Cricetulus griseus: one gene and its partners. The protein of the gene in region 1 purifies or fractionates together with the protein of each later gene. This does not show direct contact. Links are inferred from orthologs where the notes say so. Each region holds a gene or a part of one and is shown in the gene's direction. Other genes may lie near its edges. The genes, in order: Sinhcaf, Brms1l, Sap130, Sap30, Sin3b, Sap30l and Ing2.

What was found.
Region 2: the proteins of Sinhcaf (region 1) and Brms1l purify together in Homo sapiens (affinity purification with mass spectrometry; 3 studies listed by BioGRID and IntAct, counting the BioPlex papers as one, with this or other methods). This does not show direct contact. The link is inferred for Cricetulus griseus from reciprocal best matches to the Homo sapiens genes SINHCAF and BRMS1L.
Region 3: the proteins of Sinhcaf (region 1) and Sap130 purify together in Homo sapiens (affinity purification with mass spectrometry; 3 studies listed by BioGRID and IntAct, counting the BioPlex papers as one, with this or other methods). This does not show direct contact. The link is inferred for Cricetulus griseus from reciprocal best matches to the Homo sapiens genes SINHCAF and SAP130.
Region 4: the proteins of Sinhcaf (region 1) and Sap30 purify together in Homo sapiens (affinity purification with mass spectrometry; 4 studies listed by BioGRID and IntAct, counting the BioPlex papers as one, with this or other methods). This does not show direct contact. The link is inferred for Cricetulus griseus from reciprocal best matches to the Homo sapiens genes SINHCAF and SAP30.
Region 5: the proteins of Sinhcaf (region 1) and Sin3b purify together in Homo sapiens (affinity purification with mass spectrometry; 3 studies listed by BioGRID and IntAct, counting the BioPlex papers as one, with this or other methods). This does not show direct contact. The link is inferred for Cricetulus griseus from reciprocal best matches to the Homo sapiens genes SINHCAF and SIN3B.
Region 6: the proteins of Sinhcaf (region 1) and Sap30l purify together in Homo sapiens (affinity purification with mass spectrometry; 3 studies listed by BioGRID and IntAct, counting the BioPlex papers as one, with this or other methods). This does not show direct contact. The link is inferred for Cricetulus griseus from reciprocal best matches to the Homo sapiens genes SINHCAF and SAP30L.
Region 7: the proteins of Sinhcaf (region 1) and Ing2 purify together in Homo sapiens (affinity purification with mass spectrometry; 3 studies listed by BioGRID and IntAct, counting the BioPlex papers as one, with this or other methods). This does not show direct contact. The link is inferred for Cricetulus griseus from reciprocal best matches to the Homo sapiens genes SINHCAF and ING2.

Annotation. Positions count from the first base shown.
Region 1 is NC_048601.1:780,401-784,489, forward strand, and holds the start of Sinhcaf (SIN3-HDAC complex-associated factor), read left to right. Parts: upstream 1-1,289; 5' UTR 1,290-1,469; intron 1,470-1,666; exon of another isoform or gene 1,667-1,802; intron 1,803-4,089. UniProt on the Homo sapiens protein: Subunit of the Sin3 deacetylase complex (Sin3/HDAC), this subunit is important for the repression of genes encoding components of the TGF-beta signaling pathway.
Region 2 is NC_048598.1:146,557,675-146,561,697, reverse strand, and holds the start of Brms1l (breast cancer metastasis-suppressor 1-like protein), read left to right. Parts: upstream 1-1,223; 5' UTR 1,224-1,358; coding exon 1,359-1,500; intron 1,501-4,023. UniProt on the Homo sapiens protein: Involved in the histone deacetylase (HDAC1)-dependent transcriptional repression activity. When overexpressed in lung cancer cell line that lacks p53/TP53 expression, inhibits cell growth.
Region 3 is NC_048595.1:205,706,563-205,710,790, reverse strand, and holds the start of Sap130 (histone deacetylase complex subunit SAP130), read left to right. Parts: upstream 1-1,428; coding exon 1,429-1,482; intron 1,483-1,939; coding exon 1,940-2,057; intron 2,058-4,228. UniProt on the Homo sapiens protein: Acts as a transcriptional repressor. May function in the assembly and/or enzymatic activity of the mSin3A corepressor complex or in mediating interactions between the complex and other regulatory complexes.
Region 4 is NW_023276806.1:235,754,622-235,757,306, reverse strand, and holds the end of Sap30 (histone deacetylase complex subunit SAP30), read left to right. Parts: intron 1-1,852; coding exon 1,853-1,975; 3' UTR 1,976-2,185; downstream 2,186-2,685. UniProt on the Homo sapiens protein: Involved in the functional recruitment of the Sin3-histone deacetylase complex (HDAC) to a specific subset of N-CoR corepressor complexes. Capable of transcription repression by N-CoR.
Region 5 is NW_023276806.1:247,456,737-247,460,236, forward strand, and holds part of Sin3b (paired amphipathic helix protein Sin3b), read left to right. Parts: intron 1-342; coding exon 343-516; intron 517-723; coding exon 724-816; intron 817-2,325; coding exon 2,326-2,420; intron 2,421-2,692; coding exon 2,693-2,897; intron 2,898-3,025; coding exon 3,026-3,256; 3' UTR 3,257-3,500.
Region 6 is NC_048600.1:71,858,106-71,862,325, forward strand, and holds the start of Sap30l (histone deacetylase complex subunit SAP30L), read left to right. Parts: upstream 1-1,420; 5' UTR 1,421-1,644; coding exon 1,645-1,842; intron 1,843-4,220.
Region 7 is NW_023276807.1:39,045,738-39,049,700, forward strand, and holds the start of Ing2 (inhibitor of growth protein 2), read left to right. Parts: upstream 1-1,163; 5' UTR 1,164-1,301; coding exon 1,302-1,470; intron 1,471-3,963. UniProt on the Homo sapiens protein: Seems to be involved in p53/TP53 activation and p53/TP53-dependent apoptotic pathways, probably by enhancing acetylation of p53/TP53. Component of a mSin3A-like corepressor complex, which is probably involved in deacetylation of nucleosomal histones.

The DNA of each region.
Region 1 (4,089 bases):
GTTGGCTATTGAATTAAAGAAGCACTTCGAAAGTATTTCTTTGAATCTGTAATGTTGGTTGGCCCTACAGCAAAAGCAGTAAAAGCAGCAATGATGACGTTTCGCAGTGATTTTTCACTTTGCAACAAGGGACCAAACATCAAGTTCTTGAAAACAAACAAACAAACAAACAAAAAAACCAAAACCATCCTTTTCTCCTTCCTCTCCCCATCATGCTCCAAGAATCATTCAACCATTTGTTATGGGTTGCTGGGCTAAAGGAGTCATATCCGGATCGTTCTTTCATTTCCTACTTTTCCATTTGAAAAAGATACTTCAGGATCATTCTCCCCCCCCCCTTCATTCTTTGGAACCTCCCTTTTGTTTCCTCTAGATTACGTCCTTCTAGAATTGTCTCTCTCTTTTTATTTTCTTTAGAAACATTTAGGTGTTAGGTTACCATGTATTCCGCAAGGAACACTGTATTTTTGCTTCCACTTTCTGTCTTCCCCAAGTGGCTTTTCTTGGGCGAGGTGCTCTCCGTGTCTTTTCAGAAAGTGGCACCATCCCCGCAGTACTTACCACCATGCAGTTCGCAGAGACTGGAATACTTAGGTCCAAGCGAGCAAGAAAAACAACCCAGCTGCGGGTTGGATCACGTCTGGGAAGGGCAATGGACAGTGCCAAGATGGGACTTTATTAAACGACTCATTAAAACTACAAGAAGGAAACCTTTGCTGGAGAGCTGACGTTTTTATTTTGTGTGTGTGCATGTGGAAGTGAATTTGCAGAAGTCGGTTCTCGACTTCAGATGTTTTTCGAAGTACTCCGCCAGGCCATTAAAAGATTTAAAAGACAAAATGGAAAGCTCACCTTCAAACAGATTTTAGGCATGGTGAGGAGGACAAGTACAAATTAAGTGCGTGCTTCCAAAAAGCCTTTTCTGTCACCTCAAGCTAGAAACTGTGCAGAGGTGCGCAGGATGATGCAAAAACACCTTCCAGAACTTTCTGCGCCCAATAGAGTCCTAAAGGGGTGCCGCTGGCGGAGGAGAACCGCTCACCTTTACGCCTTCCGCGCCCTGCCACGCCCCCGCGTCGCCTCCCTCCCCGGGGCGTTTGTTTACGTGACTTTGCGTAGTAGACAGGCCCCGCCCCCCGTCCCCGCGGGCCGCCGCGTTTCCCGCGCCGCTTCTCCCCTTAAAAGGACAATAGAGGCCGCGGGGGCGCGCGCGGACGCCCGGCCCCCTCTCCCCGCCCAGCCCGCCACGCGCACGCGCCCGTATGCAAATCAGTTCGATTCAAGAGAATTTGGTCCCGGGAGCCGCGCGTGCGCAGAGGGGAAAGCGGAATCTACACCTCCGTCCGCGGTAGCAACTGAAGAAACTGCAGGAGACAATCTTTCTGGACTCGGCGCAAGGGCGGAGGGAGTGCTTGCAGGGGTTTGGCCTGGTGCAGTCCGCACCGTGGGGACACTGCTGCGCGTGGAAGGTGAGTGATTCTAGTCGGGACCCTGGTGCAAAACTGTCTCCGGGGCTCCGCTTTCTGCGGCGCTTTTTTCCCTTCTTTCCTCCCTTTACCTCCCCCGCCTCCTCCGTCCTTCCCATACACAAACACACAGGAAGTTTTGTCTTGGAGATGGCATTGCGGGGAGCGCCGTCCTCGTGCTCCGCGGGACTCCAGATCCCTTTGTACGGAGGTGTTGGATGTGCGCTTCTTAATTGGGGAGGGTTATTTGAGGTAAACCGAAAGTCAGGGCGCGGGGGAAAGTGAGTGCAGCGTGGAAACGGAACGGGCAGCGGCGGAGTTGCATCCACGCCGAAGGTGACAATGACTTTTTCTCAGTCGTAGTGTCGTCCGTGTCCCCCTCCCGCCACCGACCCCAGAGAGCTGAGTCGGGGTCGCGGAGCCCCCTGTGGGCTCCGGCCGTGGTCTCGCGCGCCGCGACCCCCCGCGCGCGTGTTGCACTCCGGAGGCGCCCGCGACGGTTTGCACGCGGGTGCACAACAAAGCCGGAGATCGCAAACTTAACTTGCCACACCGCCTGGAGCCGGCGGCCGACATGGGCTCACGACCGCCGGTGAGGGCCGGCTCCGGGGATTGCGCGACGCACGCGGCGTGGCGTTGTTGGCCAAGTCCGCAGGGACGCGTCCGCGACAATGAGCGCGCAGCACGCGGTCGCCTCTGCACTCGGCCGGCGCCGAGCGGTCTCTGCAGCCCCGAAGTTCGCCGCCTGTCCGGTCACCTGTAGCGTGGGCGCGGGCGTCACGCGAGGGGTGGCCGTGGCCCGCGGAGCCCAGTGGGCTCGGATGTTGGCGGCGACGCAGTCCTCTGCAGGAGGGACCCAACTCTTTTTTTTTATTTTGATCTTTGTGTGTGCTCCACCTGACAAGCCACGTGCTCAGGGCCGCGACCCGTCTGCGTCCGAGTGTCCGGCTCGGTGTGAGCCGCGGGCTGCGGTCGCCGTCGGGGCTGTCGGGGAGCAGGACAATGTGATTTCCTGGTGATGGCGTCTTGCCAGTTTGCAAAGCAACAGCCAAAGTCGCCAACTCGCAGCCTGCGCGCGGCGGGGACCCCCGGGCGTTTCTGGTCGCGGACTCGGCAAAAGTTCGGCCCCCGGGGGCGCCGGCGGCCGAGGACACCCGAGCCCTCCCGGGGCCCCGCGCGCGGGTCCCTGTCGCCCCGACGCCGCCGGACAACAAAGGGCCGCGTGTGCCCGAGCGGCGCGGGCCGGGCGGGGCGCCGGGCGGCTTTTGTCCCTCAGGTCCTCTCGGAAACTTGGGCAGCGGCGCGGCGGGGCTGTGTCCGTGGGGGCGCCTCGGCCCGCGGGGTCACCCATGCGGCGCGACGGAACGTCCGGCACTCGGCGGGGCGCACGCGTGGCCCGAGCTCCGAGGCACGGAGGCCGCGTCTGGGAGGTCCGTGCATCCGCCTTTGAAGTGGAACTGTTGCCATGTTTGAATTACGTCAGGCCGAGCGTGCGGAGCGGCCCGGGAGCGGAGGCGCGGCCTCCGGGCGGCGCCGGCGGGGCGCGGGGCCGTTGTTCGGCGCAGGTGAGGGCGGCGGGTGGCGCGTGGGTCCCCGAGCCCGGAGCGCTGCGCTCCTTTGAGGAGTGGCGCTCCGCCGCGCCCCACCCAGGACCTCCGGCCGCACGCGCGGAAGTTTCGGGGCTCCGGGAAGTGGCGGCTGCGGAACCGGGGGGTGCGTGCGGTGCCGCCTTTGTGTGTTTACACGTGGGGCGAGCGGGGAAGCGCAGGGCAGGTTGGACAGGGCGTGCTTTGAAGCACGGGGCAGTGCGTTCTGGTGACGGATCAAGCACCCCAGGTCCGCCTCCCGTGTTTGTTTTATTCTCACCTTTCGTGACTGCAGGTGAAGAGTGACTACGGCGACAGACGCCCACGACACAAACACACACCCACCAGTATTAGGAGTGCGTTCCTAGTAGGCTCTTCGCCCTCTCATGTTTTCTTAAAAAGATCGAGGCAACTTTTGCCTGCTTTTAGTAAGAAGAAGTCGACGTGAAACTTGTCATTAGCAGGGTACTGAAAGCACCTGCTTTTGAACTGAAGTTTGCCAGACTTGAGAATAATTTTTAGTGATCGGTGCTGCAGAACTGAACACGTTTAAATTGCCCACTCTAAATGAAGGTCTGGGATTCGCTTCTGAGTCGGGGCAAAGCTATTAAAAAAAAAAAAACCTGTAAAAATATGCAGAGGATGATTTCGGAGGATTTGTGTGTGTGTGTGTGTGTGTGTGTGTGTGTGTGTGTGTGTGTGTGTGTGTGTGTGTGTTTTGACACAGATAAGTCTTAGGGATGACCTTGAGGACTCTGGAATTGGGGAGTAGGGTCTTTCAGAGATAGTAAAAAGACTCTGGGAGAAGTTGCTGGAGTATGACAATGCTAGGGATTCCTTGCTAGCTTCACAATTACTGGGAACTGGGTTGACCTTCGAGTTACCCCTCTTAGACTTTTTTCAAGCTAAAGTTTTTTTTGGTATGTGGCTCCAGGCATAGCTCAAAAATTATGCTGGTTTGACACATGGATGCTTCTTTGGTATTTGGGGTTTGCCTGCAGTCTAGACATCCAACCAGCAGCACAGTATCTGTTGCT
Region 2 (4,023 bases), on another chromosome or scaffold:
ATACCTTTCAATAGTAAATTGCTCTTATCTTTATGAGGGGGGAAATACAGTTTTTCACTACTCCCCTACCCTCCTGTCCCCGGCCAGGGTCTTTGGTAGACAACGCTGGCTTCAGATTCAGTAAGTAGCTGAGGATGATTCTGAACTTGTGCCACCACTCCAAACCTAAAATATATTTTAGTCAGGTGTTGGTGGTGCACGCCTTTAATCCCAGCACTCGGTAGGTGGATCTCTGTGAGTTCAAGGCCAGCCTGGTCTCCAGAGCGAGTGCCAGGATAGGCTCCAAAGCTACACAGAGAAACCCTGTCTCGAAAAATATATTTAAAGATTTGTCTGGAAATGATTTCTTGTTTACAAAATGGATATAATTATGACTTCCACTTCAGGGCTACTGAACTGAAAATTCAACTCCTCTAACGCGTGCAATGAGCTTACCAAGACAACTTGAGGTAAAGCGAGAGGCCACCTATTATGAGTTACAATAATCACAGTACTTACTGCGTCCTACTTGTCTGTGTATCCTGTCTTGGTAAAAATATGAAATCTCTTTCAGTCAAACGTGTATTTTACATTGGAGCCTGAAATCAAATAAACTGATGGCATTTTTCATTAAAAATATGCAAAAATATGCTAAATTGAAATATAAGTTCCTTCCCCTCTGTATTTTTGGCTGTAAAAATTTCAAGATTAAAATTTCTTTGTGAAAATTAAAAAGCACAAGTTTTTTATTTCTTATACTTACATTTCAATTTAACAGTTTGTTCGCGGTAATAAATGTACTACTAAGGTAGAAGAGACGATTCCGCAGCTCTCCAGGCTCGGAAAGGAAAGACCCTTTCAGGCAAAGGACCTTTTCACATTTTGCGTAGCTAGGCAGATCAGATAACCACTTGGCGGGAAAAGGATAAATACTGACTAAATCAGCACAATCTGTTTCTGTTTAGTTTATAAACTGCGTTCCAGTATGTCAGCTTTCCTGCCTTGTGGGACTTGAAGTCCGAAGTTAGAAGCGATTCAGGCAGCTGGACCTTAGAAACCCACAGCCCCTGAAGCTCTAAGGCCTAAGGACTACAACTCCCGACATACATCAGAAGGCCGCTCCGTAATCACGGGAAGCCAATCGTATGTCTACGAGATAATCCCCGCCCCCAGCTCCAGGACAACTTTGGCCAATGGCAGAGCTCGGAGCGCACAGCCTGCGGGTTAGGTTGTGAGGCCCGGGCCGGGGGTGGGGAGGAGCCGAGGGTTTCGGTGCGAGCTCGGCGGCGGGGTGATCCGGGGCGTTCGGCGCGCCCTTCACTGAAGCGGCAGTGGCCGGGCTGGGAGTAGGGAGTGGGAAGCGACGGCGCGGCTGGAAAATGCCGGTCCATTCCCGAGGGGATAAGAAGGAGACGAATCATCATGATGAGATGGAGGTGGACTACGCGGAGAACGAGGGGAGCAGCTCGGAAGACGAGGACACCGAGAGCTCGTCGGTCTCTGAGGATGGGGACAGCTCAGGTGCGCGACCCAGCTGGGCAGGGATGCCGGGTCCCAGCGCCGGGCGCGCGACAGGCCGCGGTGCTCACGCCGGGCGGCGCGTCCTGCTGCGAGCGCGGGGCGGGGAGACGGGGAAGGGGCGGGGACTGGCTCGGCCTCCGGCACCGGGGAGCTGCGGGGCGCCGCCAGCTCGGGCTTTGGGTTGGCGGGGCGGGCGCTGACTTGTGGGGACCCGAGGCGACTACGTTCTCCGGTGGGGCCTGCCCTAGGGTCGCCTGCCAGTGCCATGGGGCTACCGACGGGGGAGTGGAGTGCCCCGCTGGCTGGTCTTGAAGACCGTGGAAAAGTCCCTTTCCCCAACCTACTAAGTGTCAGCAACCCTTGTCAACGCGTGTCGGGGTTGAGGCTAGGTTTGCCTAGTAGGTCCTTGTGGGCTTGGAACTCATTAACATGTACTGTCATCATTGCTGTTGAGGAGACTAACTTGGGAACTCTCTGCTTCATAGTAGGTCCCTAAAGTTTTCAAGACCAAGAAGGGACCAGTCTGAGGGATGATTTCGAATCTTCGTGGGTTTTTTAATCTGGATGATGTGGGCATTGTTGACATTCCCAGAATCTACTAGCGTTCATGATTTTGTAACTTTGGGCTGTTTCTGATTACTTCACTTATATTTTATGTTTTTTTTGATGGGGGAGGTAGATTAACACTACAAATACATTTTGTAAATCTTCAATAATTGTCATTCAGAGGCCAGTGGTATTTGTGATTTTCTGGATCTTTCTCTGTCTGACCATATGATAAGAATGGTCTTTGTCTAACCCTGTTTTTGGCCATGTTTATAAGGGAAGCATTATTAACAGGTTAATGACAGTGTGTTATCACTCCACCCCCCCCCCTCTTTTTTAGGTTTGCCTGTTAGAGTAGAATGTAATGGCAGTAAGTCAGCCATTCAAAAGTAAATATTTATGAGGGAGGCTTTTTGCTCAGTATTGGGCACTACTCACCATGAGATATAAATATATAGTTACATTATCTTGTCTCAGGTAAAGTCTCAGTGTTTTCCTTACTTAACAGAGAGATTGACCATACAAACTCAAGGCAGTTGTGACAACATGCACAAGACCTGAGCAGACTCAATCCAGAAGAAATCCCAGTGTGACTTGGGGTGGGAGTGTTCATGAGGTTCCACCACTAGCCGAGGAGTTATTGGCATTTGATAGCTGCTGGGAGAGAGTCAGTTTTCTTTAGTAGCATGACCCCTGGTAGGTCAGCCACATGTCAGGGCAGGCTCCAACCCAAGAACAGCTGGGCAAAACAAATGGAACTCCATGGTTTCAGAAAAAAGAAAAACTGGAGGGACTTGAAGTTGGGTGGGTAGGTAGATGGGTGGATCTGGAGGAGGTGGTGGAGGGGAAGTGACTATGTTCAAAATACATTGTACAATTCTCAAAGAGTTAATAAAATATCCAAAAATACTGCTGGAAGTTGCCAAATAAACGATTGAATGAAAATAATGCTGTAGGAATTCAGAGACTTCGAGAACTGAGTGGTCGGTCAGCCCGTTTAGTTGAGGAAAGCGGGACTGCCTTGTTTTGAAGCATTTGGGTTGGGATAGTTAAGGTGGAAAGTTCATATAGGAGAAGGAATGTAAGAAAAGGTGCAAAGGCCAGAGTTCAAGGCTTATTGGGGAAGGAGAAAACCAGTTTGGTTGGGAGACCAACAAGCTTGAAAAGGCAAAGACAGCTGTAAGCTCTGAGAGGTTTCAAAGAAGGTAAGAAACAGAATTGAGGAATCCAACTTTAGGAGTGAAGAGGAAAGCTCGATTGCAGGAGAGGTGTGGGTCTCATCAACACTAGTGGAAAGGTAAAATACCAGAGTTGAGGATAAAATGTTTTGAGCACATTGCTGTTGGGGATCCTGTCTGTATATGTAAGAATGTCTGAACTGATGTGGAAATGTAACATTGGAACCCGCCTGGGATGAGAAGAATAATAATTCTGAAGTAAGTCATATGCCTATCTATTGACATAGGTGAGATTTCAAAATTAGCCAATTATTTAACATGAAGTGGGGATTATAAATCACATTTATACTTTAAATACAGTTCTTGGATCTGAAAAATGTTTTTTTTTTTGTTTTTTTTTTTTTTTGTTTTTTGGTGGGATATAGAGGACATGCTATGTAGCCCAGGAGCAAAGCATTTTTATATTCAAGTGTTTTTGTTTGTTTAAGATTTTATTTTTAATTATGTGTGTACGTGTGTGTGTGTGTGTGTGTGTGTGTGTGTGTGTGTGTGTCTGTCTGTCTGTCTGTCTGTCTGTGTGTGTGTGTGTGTGTGTGTGTGTGTAGGACCAGGCATATGAGTGACAGTGCCATGTAGTCCAGAAGAGGACATTGGATCTCCTAGAGCTGGAGTTACAAGTGGTTGTGAGCCACCCAGTGTGGGTGCTGGGTACTCAGTCTGGTCTTCTGCAAGAACAGTTTGTGTTCAGATCCCCTGAGCCACCGCTCCAGCCCATGTTCTCCTTGGATTTTAATGGGAG
Region 3 (4,228 bases), on another chromosome or scaffold:
GCAACAGCGTGGAATCCTTTACCTTCTCAGTCCCAAAAAGAAATGGCATAACAGTCCAGACCGGACTGCGAAGGAGGAGGAAGCCCGCGTCGGGTCCCCCAGGCCCCGCCCTCCTAGGGCAGGGAACTACATTTCCCAGGGGCTTCTGTGGGTCCGAGAGGCGGGACCGACGGCCTTCCTGCTCTCTCCAGGCGAGGAGTGGCTGTCTGGGAGAGGGGCGGGGTTTGTCGCAGCCAGTGAGCGAAAGTCTCGTTACGGCGGCGGAAGCAGCGGCGCTGGAGTGAGGGGTGGGGGGACAGAGTGCTATCGGTCCGGCGGTGACTGCGGGTCCGGAGCCCGAGGACATTAGCCCCACAGGCGGAGAGCGCACGGGAGCAAGCTAGAGGCGGCGTGGCCGCACCTAGGTAATGGCGGAACGAGAGCCGGGAGGGAGGGGAGGAGTCGAGGGGGCGGGACTGCATGGCTAGTCCCGGTGCTCGTCCCTGGGGAAGGACAGAGCCGCACAGCTTTTGCAGCCCTGATTCCAGCTCTTTAGCGAGCTGGGCAGAGCGGTTGAGTCGGCGGCAGGGCCCGGGTGCTCGGTGCGAGGAAGGGCGAGAAACACCGAGGGGTGGGCAGCCCCGGGCGTGGGGGCGTGGCGGACGCGGGCCTCCGTAGGGAAGTCAGCGGGAGGGAGGGACGGCCTATGGAGTTTGGCTGCTGGAGCAGTTTAAAGTGACTCTCCACATCCGGGCCCTGCGCCCGCCGCTTTCAGACCCCTGCCGGGGCGGGGCCTCCCGGATCCCCGCCCTTCTTGCCAGGGATCGCCTAGCTCTTTGCCTTCTATTCGCCCAGCCGAGGAGTTTAGGCTGCTCCCCGCCCCCAGCGAGACTGGCATCTTATTGGCTGGCGGCCGGCGGGAGGGTGGGGCGGGCCCAGAACGCGCAGGCAGCTGCGAATTGGTACTGAGTCCAGTGATGCGCCCAGTGTCTGACCAATGGGCGGGCGGGGGAGGCAGGGGTAGGTTGGGTGGTAAGAGGACTGGGAGCCGAGCGGCAGCTGTCCGTGGGGGTGAGTGTGGCGGGCGGGCTGAACTGAGGCGGGCCGGGACGCGTTCCGAATCGCGTTCCCTCTGTGCCTGCGGAACCCCTCGAGCCCTTCGTGGCGGCCACAGATAAAAAGGCACACTGCTTTTCTTGCGGAGAGGGCTCCGTAGGACGTTTTCCCGGAGAGACAGATCCTCGACACCCGGAGTGTCTGGAAACGCGTGTCCTACGATCTCGGAGGAGGAATGGGGTTAACTGGGGTAGAGGGGAGATCGGCGAAGCCTGACTCCGAAGGAAAAAGTGGAAGACGATTTTAGAGATTGTGGAAAAGGTCTCGAGTCCTACCCGTGTCTCGGGCTGGGAGGGGGGGTTGTCGATGATGAGGAAGAAAGAAAATCCTTAAATGGAGGCCTTTACGGAAAAGCGTTTGAGGATTCCGCAAGCATCGGGTCTTAATGTAAGATTTCCAATCCTTTCTTGGGGCTGGGCATTATGACATACTAATTACGGTTCTGTTTATCTTGATGTGAGGCCTGAGTCTTTAAAAGAGCCATGCTATTTCCCATAAAATTTTACATAGATAGCCTATGGTTATGGTGGTAGCTTGCATTTGGCGGCTATATAACATTCAGTGTCTACTTTTTTTTTTTAAATATAGAGATCCATAAGTATTTTTGGAAGGCTATAGTATCCTACAACACTTGTATAAAGGTTGTCATAATTAATTTAGCCTTCTTAGTACATAAAAAAGTCCTCAATTAGGTGTTTGCACCATTGATGGTAACTCATTGTTTTAGATAGAAGAAGCTGTATTTGTGTTTCTGAGAGATGTTGTGATTACTAAAGATGCTTTGATCTCTCAATGTTGGTTCTAATTTCAGAACCTGGTAATAATGGACCGACTTGTTTTGTAGGTGGAAATGAGTTCTCAGCAGTTTCCTCGGTTAGGGACCCCTTCCCCTGGACTCAGCCAGGCACCCTCACAGGTCGCAAACAGTGGTTCCACGGGCTTGATAAACCAAGTTGCCACAGGTGAGATGTGCTACATTTCCTTCATATTGCTTACTGTTTTAATAATGTTACTAATTTCAAATTAGCAAATTCCCTCTCATGATTACTAGCCTACCGACTTTGAGGAAAAGAGGTGATAAAACACTGTTTTAAAATAGGCCTGCTTTTTAAAATCATTTTCATATTCTAGGGTAAGTGAGCAACTTTAGTAAACCATGCTTATAAGAAACATTTTTTTAAATGTATTAGTGTGTTACCATTTAATTAACTCTCAGGGTACAGGCATGGTGATAGTGCCATGAGAGAACCCAACAGTGAGTGGGACAGAAATTTTACATTTTAGGAAGAGAAGTAAATAGAATGTGTCTCTGTCTTCATGCATGTGTTTGAAGGCCAGATGTCAACCTTATATGTGCTTCCCCAGCAACTGTCCACCTTGGTTTTTGATATAGGGTCCCTCACTGAGTCTGGGATTCTGAGTAAGCTAGGCTGACAAGTACTTTATTACTGACTGAGCTATTTCCCCAGCCCTGGAAAAGATGGTTGAAGAGTATATATGCACATGTTTGCAACTTGGTTTTTATTTGTAATAGGTCCTTTGAGTGCTATAGATTGGTTGATTCTCATTGTTGAATGATATTGCCTATAACAATATTTGGCTGTGCCTGGAGACATTTGTGTTGTCACAACTAAGAAGTCCTAAACATCCTAAAATGCACCAAACTACTTTAGCCCTCAAATAATTATCAAAGCCAGTGAGCAATCTTCAAATGTTTTCACTCTGTATTAAATACATATTGTAAGCTGAAATGCAATCCTCTTCCTGGTCTGCTTCATCACCATTCAGTTCATGTATGCTTTGTGGCAAATCCTGCTGTTGTTTATTCATCGCTCAAGCCAAAGGCTGAGGCATCTTAGTTGTAATTGATTGTCTCTACTCTTTCCTCTTCCTCCCCTAATCATAGCATTGATTCATAATGTAGCCCAGGCTGGCCTCAAACTCTTGATCCTCCTCAAGAGAGTTTGTCCCACCATGCCTGGCTGATTTTATCTACCAGTGAGCTATGGCCCTACTATTTTGGGCTCATTTCTATTGCTTTGATGACTTCTTGCTAACTTAATTTTAATTACTCATTTTCTGCATGCAGTGTTACCAGGTTTCATGGCCCAGGGCTTGATCCCATTTCCCTGATGGCACAGTTTTTCTTCTTTTCCAGGTTCAGTTATTTGGCTAATTGTTCTTCCTTGAGGATTCATCTAAAGTGCCATTTTCTGGATGTCTTTGCTGACTTTATTTTTTTTACTGCATTTCAGACACATTCCTGTGTGTTTCATGTGCATACTTGCTATAAAGAATAGCACAAGTTGTGGTCAACAACTTCTTGTAGAGCCATCTAAAGTTTTTTATTTCTTGTTAGGTATAGTGATGCACATCTGTAGTCCAAGCACTTGAGTAGTTGAAGAAAGCTAATCAGTTTAAAACAATGTAGCTGAAGTTTGGCTACAAAGCAAGTCCAAGACTAAGCTATGTAAGACAACTCCCTACCCCCACCCTCACCCCCCCAAAAAATGTGCTAACAATATTTTGCCTTTGGCATAAGTTCAGAACAGTGATTTAAAGGGCTGGAGCTCAGAACATTGTTTTTTGAAGGGGAAGAAATGAGAGTTATGCTTATGGAAAAAAGAAAGGTGAGATTGTCTTTGGAGCTTTGCAGTTTGCTGCTTCGTGCTAATCAATCCTAAGACTTCCTTCCTAGACTGTTTTTATAGTTCACCCTCATGCTCCTGTACTCTCCACACACTTCAAGACCCAGCTCAAAACTTAATAGCTTTTTGAAATTTTTCATGAACAGTCAACCTGTATGTGACTTCCTCTTTTCATTTTCCAAATCAGTACTTTTTATCTGTTTTTCCTTTTATCTTCTTAAGTAAACCTAATTTATTTTCCAAATAAATGTTAAGTCTGGGATTAACCAGTCCAACATGATAGGATAGCTTCATGATCATCATCCAGGTTCCTTTTTCCAGTAGCTATCAATGCAGCTTTCTGCACAGACTGCTTGCCCAGCAGACTGAAGCTCTGGGTTCCATCCCTAGCACCACATAAATGGGATATGGTGGTGCATGCTTATAATTCTAACTCTTAGAAGGCAGAGGAAAGAGGATCAGGAGTTCAAGACCAACCCTGGCTA
Region 4 (2,685 bases), on another chromosome or scaffold:
GTTCACACCAACAAGGGTTGTGATTAAATGATGATGAAATAGGTAAATGTCTAATGTCTAAGAAAGTCAGAGTTAATGGGTCTATCATGGTGTGCATATAGTGGTTTAGAAACAACTGTCTGTCACCTAGAAAATCCACTTACAGCATTTTTTAATAGGGATTTCTCAGAGTAAGTATTTAGTGAGTTTTTAATCACTTCAGAAATCTGTTTTAGGTTTCTAATTATTCAATGTCTGTTTATTGAACACCTAATTGAGGCATAACAAATAAATAAGCTTACAAGCATTTATCAGAATTTAGTTTTCAAAGCTTCTCTGGGATAGGCCTACAGATGAACCCTGAAGCAGTACTTCCTAACTTTCTAGTTTTACTTTCAGGTTGTCTTTGTTAGTAGTTGTTGTTTTTAAGTAGAAGATGCTTTCTTTACATCGAGAGAGAGCAAAGATTTTATCCAAGCTTTTACTTAAAGTTTATTTTGTATAGGACTTTGGTTCCTTCAGAGTGCTTTGGAAATTAGCTGTGTGTGTGTGTGTGTGTGTGTGTGTGTGTGTGTGTGTGTGTTTTCAAGAAGTAATAGAGCCACAAAATCTGTGCACTTTAAAGTATTTACAGATTTAAATAATTAGACTTTATATGTAAAATAAACTTTTCCACTAAATAGACAGGACAGAAATCTCTCTCTCTCTCTCTGTGTGTGTGTGTGTGTGTGTGTGTGTGTGTGTGTGTGTGTTTACATGAGTTTTCTCATATTCTTGGGTTTGACTTGAGTAGTTAGCCTACATTTCTAATGTGCATATTAAATAAAAGATAAATACAAGTTGCAATTCTTTGTAGAAAGTTCTTTTACATTATTAAAATTCAATATGCTAACTAGCCAAATTTTCTCCTCTATTTTTTGCCTAGACAAAAATATAATTTTTCTTCAAATTTTATTTAAAGATCTAGTCCTTTTACCATGGCACAGTACATAAACATAAAGATGTTCCCTACTATGATGAAATATACTAGACATTAATGAAGTATGGTCGCCCCTGTTTTGTAACAGAGAGGAGCCAAGAACTGATGCAAACGTTGTATGATATAACATCATATAGTTTATAACTCAAATCTCAACTTTAAAGTCTGGTCTTCTAAAAACAGTTGAATTAGTACAGAGTTATTTTCTGTTCTAGAAAAACAGGCCATCTTCTGGAATCGGAGTGCACACATTAGCAGCTCAGTTTCTTATTCGTGTTGGTAGCTCAGTGTGCATGTTTGGTTTGTGCTGTGAAAAGACAGGGAAGCAGTCTTCTTGAGCGTCTTTCTAGCTCCTTTAATTTTCTTAAATCTTACTCAGAAAATTTTGCTGAAACTTAGGGAGAATGAATATCAATTGCACCAAAATTGTATATGATATCATAGTTTGTTACCAAGGGTTTTTGTTGTTTTGTTTACATTAATCTTTTCCTGTGAATGCAGTCGACATGCACGTTGGCTCTTTTGTTTTATGTCATTGATATTTAATGTTTAAGAATATGTACTTTATAAGTTGTTAAGTTTAAAGGGAAAAATACTTATAACCAGTGGACCAAAGCAAGTAAAATACTTAGAATTAGAGCATATGAATTGAGTAGACTAAAGGGTCCTTTGAAATCAGACTGTCCTTTGTTGATAATATTTTGTTTTTTTTAAATGTGCTTTGGGGCCTGTTCATATTTTGTTAAAACAGCTTAATTTTTAAAAGACAATCTCTTGTGGCCATATAACACATGGCCTAAACTGTGCCTTTTTTTTTTTTTTTTTAAACTGTGCCTTTTACCTGGCTCACAGAATCTGCTGCATCTAACATTTAATTTGTTTTTTTCTTTGTAGATAGTTGGTTGCCACTTTAGGTCTATTCCAGTGAATGAAAAAGACACCCTAACATATTTTATCTACTCAGTGAAGAATGACAAGAACAAATCAGATCTCAAGGTCGACAGTGGTGTTCACTAGGAGAGATGGCATTCACACTAGCACATAGATGTCTGGCTGTAAAGAATGTTTACTGTTTTTCATATGTAGAAATGTTCTTGGGTATTTTTTCTACAGAGGATTTTCTTTGGCTTTTTTTGTTTGGTTTTGATTCTAATAATTAGTTGGAAACTCATATGAAATGAGCTTCCTAAATTAAAACTATTTTAAATAAAGGTTATTACTATTATAGCTGCTTCAGTGTATTTATTTTGTGAAACTTAGTTTTTGTTTTAAGCTTTCAGGAATTGGTATTAAGGTTTCAGGTAAAGATCCTTATTTTGTAAATTTTTCTTGAAAATTCCAAGTAATTAAAGGTAAAGGAGAAACAACAGATAAATGTAATTTCCCTAGATCAATTTGATTTGTAAGTAAGTGTGTGGTGGTGGTGGTGGGGTGGGGGGGGGCGTCTGTTGGTTTTGAGACAGGTATCTCTGGCTGTCCTGGAACTCAGAGATCCACCTGCCTCTGCCTCCCAAGTGTTCAGACTAAAGGCAAGCTCTACTTCAGGCTAACAGTGTTTTTTTTTAAAATACTTCACAGTGTATGTTAGCAGGTTTAAAAATTAGACTTCCACTGATTCTTAACTACTTTTAAATTTCCCTTTTGCATTGTTATTATTATTCTTTGAAGGCATATGAAGAAAAACAGGTAGTTTCTGTGCCTCTCTCTTTCCAAAGACACCCTACATT
Region 5 (3,500 bases), on another chromosome or scaffold:
CTGTAGAAATGGGCAAAAGGGCTGTTTGTCTCCACACATCTGAGAGGAAGTTTTAGATGAGGGCAGTGCTTTCAAAGGGCACATGTGTCTCTTGAGGACATTTCTTACACCCCAACAGTTAGCTCATGTGGTCTACTCTGGTCTAGTCTGCTCTGGTCTGGCTTGGTTTGGTCTGGTCTGCCTACAAAAAAAAAAAAAAAAAAAAAATTGTTATTTGTACCATGTGATCTAGTCTTCATTCCCTGTCCCCAGTCACAGACTTGTTTCCAGGGGTATGGGACTGTGGCTTCGGGGGTGGTAGGATACAGGAGGTGGCAGCCGTGGCCTTGCTCTCTCTGCCAGCTTCACCACCTGGTGAGCGACGACGTGTGTCTGAAGGTGGTGGAGCTGTACCTGAACGAGCAGCAGCGAGGTGCAGCTGGCGGGAACCTGTCCTCCCGCTGTGTCCGTGCTGCACGGGAGACCAGCTACCAGTGGAAGGCGGAGCGTTGCATGGCCGATGAGAACTGCTTCAAGGTGAGAGGTTGTGGGGTGACCTGGGACTAAAGGCCAAGGCTTCTGGAAGAGGACTGGACACTGAGCAGGGGTCAGGGGCACAGTCACCACTCCTGTGAACCAGGAGTAGCCGTAGCACCTGCTGGGTCCCTCTTACAGGGCAGTGCCAGGGCCTCGGAGGGTGGTAGGGATGGCTGATGACTGCTCAGGCTGTGACCACCTCCCCAGGTAATGTTCCTGCAGCGCAGAGGACAGGTGATCATGACCATAGAGCTCTTGGACACTGAGGAGGCGCAGGCGGAGGACCCCGTGGAGGTGCAGGTGAGTCTGCTCCTGTTGTCTGTCCTCAGCTGTGTGCAGCCGCATTCCTGGTCTCCCACTTTGCTGACAGTTAAAAATACATCCATGTAAGCACCAAAGCAGTCACTGAGGACCCTTCCTTTGTCTTCCTGGTACCTTCCAGGGTCCCTGTGTGCCTGTCACTTAGTGTGCACACTCACTTCCTGTGGCCCCCCACAAGTGACCACAGAGTAGGACATTGCAAGAGCAGAGCCATACCCTCTCATCCTGGATGCCTGGGGTCCAAAATCCATGGGTGCTCAGGTCCTAACCCTCAGAGCTGCTAGGAGCCCCTTGTGGCCTCTGCCACTTCCGAGCGTTCTAGCTGCCCTAGCCAGATAGTGGTACACACCTTTAATCCCATCACTGGAGAGGCAGAGGCTGGAGATCTCTGTGAGTTTGAGGCCAGCTGGGTCTACAGAGTGAGCTCTAGGACAGCCAAAGCTATACAGAGAAACCCTGTCTCAAAACAAACAACCTGGGGCTGTAGTTTGGTGGTAGATGCTTGCTCGGCATGGCCAGGCCCCAGATTCTATCCCCAGTGCTGCAAAATAGAATATAAATTGATTTTTGATTGCAAATGAGGTCACACACAGGTCCCAAGACTCTAAAGGACCAGAACCAGACACACACACACACACACACACACACACACACACACACACACACACACACACACTTGCATGCGCACATGGATTCCCCTTGTAGGTGACACTCTGAGGCATTTTCCCCTTCCCAAGTTTGGAGAACACTTTTATTTTTGGTTTTGGTTTTGGTTTTTCGAGACAGGGTTTCTCTGCGCCACCAACGCCTGGCTGGAGAACATGTTTTATGGAGTTTGTTTGGAGACTGTCCTGGTTTGCCTTCTGTTGCTATGATAAGCATCATGCCCAAGAGCATCTTGGGGAAGAGGGGTAACACCAGTCAGTCCATCCAGGCAAGCAGGCACGAGCTGAGCATACTGGCTTGCAGCTTAGGCCCACCTGCGGAGTGGTGGCTCTGCTCAAAATGGGCTGGGTCCTATACCAGTTGGGAATTGAAATGCTCCCACAGACATGTCCACGCATTTATCAGATGGAGGCACTTCTTCAATTGGGGATCCCTCTTCCTTGGAGATTCTAGGCAAGGGACTCTACCTCTGATCTATGTCCCCAGCCCCTCACTGGGGCATTCTAGGCAGGGGCTCCCACCCCTGAATCATACACCCAGCCTTTTTATATCTGTATATCCTGATGTTCTGCACTGTCCTCCGTGGCTCAAAGCTTGTACTAAGGTGAGGATGCCATGTGAGTGCCTAGACTTCCCGTGGAGGCTGGCCCCAGACCTAAGGCTGTAGTGTCCTTTCACAGCAGAGCCCTCAGCCATGGCTGGTCTCATTATGCTTTGGGGTTGGGGTACAAGCTCACATGAGTGTCTGACTTGGGATCCAGAATAAGAGGTGGGTCACCTTATCCCCCCGGGGGTCATAGGGTATGTCTGTCCCTTGCCCAGCACCTGGCTCGCTATGTGGAGCAGTACGTGGGGACTGAGGGTGCGTCCAGCTCGCCTACCGGGGGCTTCCTGCTGAAGCCTGTGTTCCTGCAGAGGTGAGTACAGGGCCACACATGTGCCACCTGCCAGTGCCTGCTGCGCAGTGACATAAGACATGAGGAGGAGCTGTGGGAGGTAGAGGGGGTAGTCTAGGGCCAACAGGAGGCCACCCCACCCCCAGAGAGCAGAAGGAGCAACCCGGCAATCCTGCTGGGAGAAGCTTATGGAAATGGAGAGTAGGGAATGAAGTGTCATGCATGCTGGGCGGTCACCATCGCCTGGACCTCCAGAGGCCGCAAGTCCCCTCCCCGAGGCCCTGTCCCTGCAGGAACCTGAAGAAATTCCGGCGCTGGCAGTGTGAGCAGGTGCGTGCCCTGCGTGGGGAGGCCAAGAGCTCGTGGAAGCGGCTCATGGGCGTGGAGAGCGCTTGCGATGTGGACTGCCGCTTCCGCCTGGGCACACACAAGATGGTGTTCATCGTCAACTCCGAGGACTACATGTACCGCCGCGGGACGCTGTGCCGTGCCAAGCAGGTGCTGCATCCACACCCACCCACTTGAGCCCTTGAGCCCCACACTCGGAGCCCATGAACCTCACATCCAGCCCTAAGCCCCACCCCGCACCCCGCCCCAGGAGTTCACACGTATGCACCTTCCCTCAGTTGCAGCCCCTGGTGCTGTTGCGCCACCACCGTCACTTCGAGGAGTGGCACAGCCGCTGGCTGGAAGACAATGTGACTGTGGCTGCTGCCGGGCTGGTGCAGGACTGGCTGATGGGGGAAGAGGAGGAGGACATGGTACCCTGCAAGACGCTCTGTGAGACTGCACACGTGCACGGCCTGCCCGTGACACGCTACCGCGTGCAGTACAGCCGTCGCCCTGCCTCGCCGTGAGCATCTGGAAGAGGTCCCAGCACGTGCCCGTGCCCACCCCGACCCCACGTGTCATGCCCAACAGGGCCTTTGTTGCTTTGAGCCCGAGGTCATGCCTTGACCTCAAGCAAGAGCTGTAGCCAGCCCTTGCAGTGCAGACCAGACCACGGGCAACGGCAGGGGCCGTCCCCACGAGGGCAGCCCCTCCGCACAGTTCTAGATGCGTATGCACAGTATTTATTCCTTCCTGCGCTCCTAGTGGTCG
Region 6 (4,220 bases), on another chromosome or scaffold:
AAGTCGTCTGTGGGTGGCCTAAGGGCCTTTCTCTGTTGCCTCAGCCTACAAAACATCCAGAACAAGCCAGAGAAGGGTTGCCCCAACCCATATTTTCCTCTTTAAGCCCCTCCTTCCTCGGTGTACGGGGGGCTGGGGGCAAAGACTGTTACTTCTCCTGTCAGACCTCCGTTGTCTCTCCACCCTCTTTATTCGCAAATGTACCTCCACACTGGCTTTCTGTCCCTTGTCATGCACTCATGCACTCTACCTCCCGCTGCTGCGCAGGCCTTCCAGCCCAGGCCTTTCCGTTTTACCCAGTGTGTTCTCCTGTCAGGACTTTCTCCCTAAGGTCCCCTTTCACATACCCCTCCCCTATGCGGGTCCCTTAGTTCTCCCATGCACGTCTTCGATACTTCTTCAATCCAGTCTTCGATACTTCAGTCCACCTCGACCGTGATCTCTGCTGAATTCTGACCTTGCTTCCTGCAGACCCCGTTCAGCATCCTGCTCGGTATACCAGACCCTGCGGCCTGCCAGACTCAGCTTAGCATTCCGTCCCGGGGCCGGCACCTTGCTCCGGGATCCACCTCAGCATTCTGCGCAGGAACTAGGAACCTGCTCAGCTTTCCGCCCCTCGACGGGACCCTGTGTCCCTCCTGTCTTGGTACAGCATCTCGTCCCCGCAATGGGCACCCCGCTCAGCATCCCATCCCGGAGTGGAGACGCTGCGTCCCTCCATATTCTGTTCAGCATTCATCCCCGGAGTAGGGACCCCGCGTCTCTTCTGACCCAGCTCATCATCTCGCCCTAGAGCCAGGACCTTGCTCACCATCCTCCACTGGCCCAGGACACCCTGCATTCTTCCAGACCCCGCTCAGCATTCTTCCTCGGAGCGAGGACCCTGCTCACCATCCTAACTGGGACCAGAAGATCTTGCATTCTTCCAGACCCACACCACAGCTAGGACTGAACCTGCGGCCCGTTCCCCTCCCTCGCCCGGGTAACTCTTCCCTCTTGCACTTTCTCTACTTTGAACCCATCCCAGCAGAGTCCAGGAAGTAGCCTGGCACCGGAGACCGGCAGCGGCGGCGCCCAATGGGGAACGCCAGCGGCGACGAAGGCCCCGCCCATACAGAGAATACGGCCAATATGCGCATGGAGGCGGGACTTCCGCTGTGCCGCGGCGGGCGGGGGAGCGCACTGTTGTGGTGCGGCGCGTCGGGCGGGCGGCGGCCGGGGCGGCCCAGGGGCTGCCGCGGGGACTCGGGGCGCCGCCGAGCGGCAGGGCGCTGGGGCGGGCCGTGAGCACCGCGGGGCCCGGACACGGCAGGTTCGAGGCCGGGCCCCGCGCGAGGAGCCGCGGGGTGGAGACTTTGCAGAGCAGGCGGGAGCCGGCGGGCCTCGGGAGCCCCAGGGCGGCCGGGCCCGGATCCCGGGGGAGGCTCGCGAGCCCGGGCCGGAGCCTCAGCGTGTGCATTCCCGGCGGGGCCCGGGCTGCAGGAGCACAGAGCAGCCGGGCCTCGCGGAGCTCAGAGCGCGTCTGACCCGGGGCGCACCGTGGGACTCGGGCGCGGGGCTGACGGAGAGCTGCCCCGCGGGGCTCACAGCGGCGGAGTGGCCTACAGGGGCCCTCCCCCGGAGGGGCCGGGCCGGGGCGGGGAGATGAACGGCTTCAGCACCGAAGAGGACAGCCGCGAAGGGCCCCCTGCCACCCCCGCCGCCGCCCCGGGCTACGGCCAGAGCTGCTGCCTCATCGCGGACGGCGAGCGCTGCGTCCGGCCCGCGGGCAACGCCTCCTTCAGCAAAAGGGTGCAGAAGAGCATCTCGCAGAAGAAACTCAAGCTGGACATCGACAAGAGCGTGAGTCTCGGGGATCAGCGCAGGGCCGCGGGCAGGGACCCCGGGGACGCTCGGTGCGCTGGGCCTCGCCGCGCGGTCTGTGCAGAACAGGAGACTCAGGATCGTGGAGGCCGCTCTGTGCTCCGCGACGCTGCCCGCATCCCAGAGGGTGGGCTGGGGGGCCGAGGAGGGCTCTGCACACTCTCCCTGCCTGGGAAAGTGACAGCAGTTTCCAGCTGTCACTGTTGCGCCGGATAGTAGAACAGAGAGAGGTGGGCTACTTTTGCAAGAATTTGGGGATAAGAGTTGACGAGGGGACCCGGAGGTTCTTCTCCAACTTCGTCCTCCCTTCAGGGACGTTGTCGTTCTTTCAGACACTAGCAAGGTGGCCGCGACTTTCCTGTCTCCCGCGGCCTCTGTGTCTGCAGCGCAGCACAGCCCGCTTCGCTGGCAGCGAATGAATTTTTCTGAGATGTAGCAGAAATAAGGCCAAGGCCAGGTCTTAGATGACTCTTGCAGTGGATGTGATTGGAGGGAGGCGGGGAATCAGTTTTCTTGATGGGTAACATATTTGGTAATGCAGACGGAGGCGGACATTTAAAATTGAATGGGATTGCCCTGCGCCTTGTGGCTAATTATAGGAAACTTCCTGAGTGATTTCACCTGCTCTTGTTAACGGTTATGTGCTTACTGCCAACCAGTTACGAACTTTTTAGTCTGACATCTGTTGCTGCAAGCCTTGAGTGGCAGCTTCCAGATTAAGAATTGGGACTGGGTTAAGGAACTTTTAATATTCAGGGAACTTGAATGATTAATGACCCACGTTTAGGACAGTAGTTCTCAACCTACCTAATGGTGTGACATTTTAATACAGTTTCTCATGTTGTGGTGACCCTCAACCATTAGATTACTTCTTTGCTACTCCATAACTGTAATTTTGCTACTATTATAAATCGTAATGTAAATATATGATATATGACCGGGGGGGGGGAATCGCGACCCACAGGTTGAGAACCACTGGGTTAGGGCACTCAGATATTGCCTGTTACCTGAAAAGGGAGCCTGTTTTATGCTAATGATGTGGCAGAAACTGAGGCTGGGGTAGGAAGCGATGATGCAAATGCACACTGCACTTAGGCGCTGGCTAATTTCCTAGACCAATTATCTGGCTTGCTTCCAAGCCCTACACCCAAGTTCCATTTGCCTTTAATAAATAAGGTCAACATCTTTTCTTCTAGACTCTTCTCTTGCACACTCAGTTTTATTTAGTCAGCCAGTATAGTCTGGTTCTTTTTGAACAGTGCTTTTTTTTTTATGATTGGGACTTTTTTTTTTACAAATATCTATTGATAAATTAATGAGGAATGAATGAATTATTCTGAAGCAAAAACCGGCTAGACAGTAAGGTGTCCCCTGATAATCACATGTGGGAGTGAAAAGGGAATTCTAGAATGGTAAAGAATTTATTCACTTGGAAACAGTGCCTGACTTTTCTGTGGACTGCTGGCAGTATTTCGATAAGTAGTCTCACATCTGGATGGTTTTGTTGTGGCAGTAGGGACTCCATTTACCCACTCAGCCCATGGGAAACCCCTGTGGAGCAGTGTTGAGCATCACACAGATCATCTGGTCTCCCAAAGGCTGCGCTTGGTAAGGTGTGTGGTTGGAAACAGTTCCAGTCCATTTCAAGGTGCTGGTGGGAAGAGTTTTTGTTTCATCCCACAGACTTGGGCAGGAATCCAATCCCAAGTTACTACTGTGTTACAATCAGTTTTAGCTGTTGTAGCAAGTGAAAAGAGAGGGAAAGAAAGACAACCACACACTGAGCCTTTGCCCCACCCCCATGCCCCCACCCCACCCACAGAGGCCTCTGAGCCCTGAAGTTGCTGAACATGGTTAAGGACAGAGAAAGGCTGTCTCCTAAAAGGATCTAGTGGGCACCCTTTTAAAATAAGATACCACAACCCTTCAGGTCGGACACTGGCAGCCTCTGTAATGTGTAACCAACTTGCAGTGGGCATGTTTCTCCTTTGCTTTTGCAGAGTGGCTGAAGTTGGGAATAGTATGAAGGAAATGTAGCAGGAGAAAGGGGACATTTACCAAAGCTTGGTGGGAGGACCTTGGGTCTGACATCTTCCATCTAAGATTTAGAAACACCTCATTCTGCTGCTCTCTGTTTAGCACTACACATGAGAGAAGCAGCTTGCTCTCTCAAGAGGCACATGCCAATATTACCAACCCAAGTGCCAGCTGCCAGGGGTGGGACAGGGATACATGTTCTGTAGTCTTGTATCACCTGAGTGTTACTCTTTAGGACAGTGGCACATACTTACATCTGAAAGTTTGTTGCCAAAGTGGAATCTGGCAAAGCCATCCCAGTTTGTAGCCGTGTAAGAGGT
Region 7 (3,963 bases), on another chromosome or scaffold:
CATGTGCTTGTGCACGCGCGCGCGGGCTTCTCAGTGTACCGCCGAGCCAAGTCCTCGCTGGCGTTTGATGCTTAATTGATTCGTGGTTCGACCCCAGAGAACACTCTCTTTAAGGTGGTTTCGGGGGACAGTCCTGCAAGCTTCTCCCTAAACCGAAACGGAAGGCGCTCGAGGAGGGGGAGCAGACCCTGCCAGGCACCCTGGCGCTGGGGAAGGGGGCCGCACGCGAGGCGGGGACTCGGCGTTTAAAAAGCCCAGGGAGGGCACAGGGCGGTGCGCCTACCTCCGCGGTCAGCCCCGGTGCTCCGTGAGGCCGGCAGCGGCGGGAGGTGAGCCGCCACGGCCGCGGGGCGCTCGGCGGGAAGCCGCCGCGCATGCCCGGAGCCGCGCCCGCTGCACCCTGGGTCGCCTTAGTTCCCGCAGGCCTCACTCGGCCAGCGGCGCCCAGGGGCCGCTCGCTGTCTTGGAGGGCTCGCGAGGGAGGCGCTGGATCCGCCAGATGGAGGCCAGGTCGGTACCACGGGGTCGAGCGAGCCGGGCCGGCTCTCCCTTATCCCCGTGGGGTCCAGAAAGGCGAACCCGATGGCCTGGCCTCCCGGGGGCAACCGTCAGACTCCGGGCGAAGGGCTAGGCTCAGCCATGCGGCCCCTTTAAGAGGGGGCGGGGCGCAGCCTGCCGTTTGGCCACCCTCCGCACCCTCCCCCCCACCCCAGGCAAGAGTTGACAGACCAATCGCCCGGGTGGCGCAGGGAAGGCGGGAGAATGCGAACCCTTCGGTAGGGCGATAGGGGCGGGGCCCCAGCCTTATTAGGAGTGAGTGCTGCGCAGGCGCAGATGCGGCCGCTGCCGAAGGGGCGGGGGCAAGTCCACTGAGACTCCGACAGGCACCGAGGCTGATAGCGCGGAGAGAGGGCAGCGAGGGACTTGTCACGGGGATCTGGGCGACCGGGCAGCCCTGGTAGTGTCTGGCGACTCCCGGGGGGACAGCCAGTGTCACCGCTCGGGAGCCCGGCGCCGTCGGCCGCGGGGAACCCCGCTGCTCTCTCCCAGCGAGGGAGGGGGCCGGAGGGAGCCCCGGTCTCGCCCCGCCCCTGGGCTTGTTACCGCGGGGGCGGGGAGTGAGGGTTTCTTCTGGGGGGAGTGGAGATCGGGGGACTCGGCGGTGCCCTCTCGAGCGGCGGCCGTGTCCCCGCGGCGCCGGGCTGCCGAGCGGAGGCGCGGCGGCCGTGGCTGTTGCATGTGTGGCTGCTGGATGCGGAGGCGGCGCGGCGGCGGCGGCGAGGAGCAGCAGCGGCGGCAGGATGTTAGGGCAGCAGCAGCAGCTGTACTCGTCGGCCGCGCTCCTGACCGGAGAGCGGAGCCGGCTGCTCACCTGCTACGTGCAGGACTACCTGGAGTGTGTGGAGTCGCTGCCCCACGACATGCAGAGGAACGTGTCGGTGCTGCGGGAGCTGGACAACAAATACCAAGGTACTTTCTCTCTCTCCGGTGACAGTGCCCGTGAAGTGCGGCGAGCGATCTGGTTGGTGTGTGGGACCCGGAGACGGTGGGGGAGCACTGCAGACCGGCCTGGCGGCCCTCCCCTGTCCCGGCTGCGGCTGACTAGGACTTCCGAGGGCCGCCCGTCAGCCCCCGCTGCAGCCCAGGCGGCTGGCTGCAGCTGCCGCCGCCGCGGACGGGAATCAGCCATTTTAAGCGAGCATTTGTTCCGGTGCCCGCCGGCTGGCTGCCGCACGCTGTCCTGCCCCGGGCTGGCGAATGTGCAGTAGGGCGCGGGCTGGGCTGGGTGCTGGGCCTTCTGGCCCCTGCCCGCTGGGCCCCCTCCCTCCCTCTGCGAGCAGATGCATTGGAACGTGCGGGGGGAGGGGGCGAGAGGACGGAGAAGCTGGACTTGGGAGACGGCCTCCCCCCTCCGGCTCCCGGCGTGGCGCGGGACAGGGACAGTCTGTGCTTCCCTCTCGCCCCGGGGAAAGTTCCGGGCCGCCCGGTGCCTCAGCCCTTCCTCAGCTCCTGCCAAATGGTTAAAGGGGGAGGGGTCCCCCGCAGGGCCGGGCTGAGAGGGTGTGCGTGTGTCTGTATGTGTGTACGTATATGTGTGTGTGTCTGTGTGTGTGTGGGTCTGTGTGTGTGGCGGGGAGGGCCCCGGTCCCGGTCTAGGGGCGGGGCCTGCAGGTGTGACGTCGTATGGGCGGGGCGCGCGCTCCCGCGGGCCTCGGCCACGGCGGGCTGCTCGGAGGGGCCTGGGTGGACTGAACTGACTGCCCGCGGGGGACCCGCTGGGCGGGGCCCTAGACGGTCCTGGGCGGAGTCGGTGTTGGGGTGGTGATATTTCAAATCTCTCCTACCCAGTGAATCAAGGCGCGGGCACTGCTGTGGGACTGTCGCTGACCCTGGCTCAGCGTAGGTTCCGGGCTGTGTGTCACTTCCGGACCTCTGGAGGAAGTGGGTTCGTTGGCTGGGCAACCACCTGGCGTCCCTGCACCCTTGGGTTCCTCCTCCACCAAGTTTAAACGAGTTGAAAAGCTTTCCCCCCCCCCCCCCTGTTGTTTGTCATCAAAGAAACTAGAGCAGAGAATCATCTTTAGGGACTGTCGTACCTTTCTGCTGCTAGGACAGGAGAAATTTAAATGGGGAGGGATAGGTTCTTCCTTTAGTAATCCCGAGTCAAGAAACAGCGTGGATCTAATGTGGACTGTGAAAGCAACTTGTAGCCATTCTTTCCAGACATGTCACCAAGCCTGTAACTAATCCTGTAGTTCACTTCATGGTGACATTGTTTTAACATGTTGGAACACTTAGGTGTCTCAACCTACAATTTTGTTTTTTGAGTCTCTGGTAAGACTAATTCTGTTGGGAGAAAAATGTATTGTTTCTACAGTATTCCAGTATCTTCACCAGTTTCAACATATGAGGTAAAAAAAAAATCACTTTTATAGATAAAATTTACAGCGCTAAAGTATCATATTGAGTTAATTGTGTGGAGAGTATTTCAAAGCTGTCTACTTCAAGAACACAACTGTTTTCAGATTGTGTGACTCCTCTCATTTAAGGGATTGAATTCAGAGCTCACACAATAGGTAGAGGGTTTACCACTATCCTAGTGTCCACCCTTCCTCCCACCCTTTAAGAAAATGAGCATCATCCTGGTTTTTGTTTTTGTTTTTTTCTTCTGCAGACATGGGGGCATACATGAATGGCAGTCTAGCAATGGGACACATGCTTTAAGAATTCTGTGCCAAAATTTGTAGTTTTCCTTATATTAACACTGTATTCTGTAAAGGCACAAAAAAATGAGGCTAATTAGCTTGATAATGACATTTTTTGACAGGGAAGTCTTTGACCCCAGTAATCTATAATTGTCATAAATTGCTCCGATGACATGAGTAGGAGACCTTACAATACTGAAATGTCCATATAAGCCGTTGGCTCCATTATGATTGTGGCTGATTCCAAGATTAATATAAACATAGTGGCCTAGCTTCTGCTCTATGCACATAATTGCCAAGCTCAACTTCAGTTTTATTTTGTTAGAAGCTTTATATATTTTCATGTTCACCTGGTTCAGATTTTATTTTCACTGATTCTTAAGTATTTGCTAATATGGGAGTCAGTGCTAATATAACGGAGCTTAGGGAGGGAGGCAATGAAATTGCTTCCTCACCTATGTGAGTGAGTCTTTCAGGAATTACTGAACAGTCCATTAAGTAGAGAAATAAAGAAAAACAATTGAATTAAATATTCATTGCAGGATATGGTTACTAGAAAACTTTTATGGTCTCTGTAGCATTTTATTCATAATTTCCTAGGAAAATAGCAACCTTTGAGCTAAAATGTATTATGTAATTCTAAGTGCCTTTCATACGGTATGTGAAAAGTTCTCTAAGATCAGATGTAGTTTTGGCAGTTTCATATAAATGTGATAGCATTCTCATGGGTTTGCTCTGTATAGTTTTTTTTTGATTG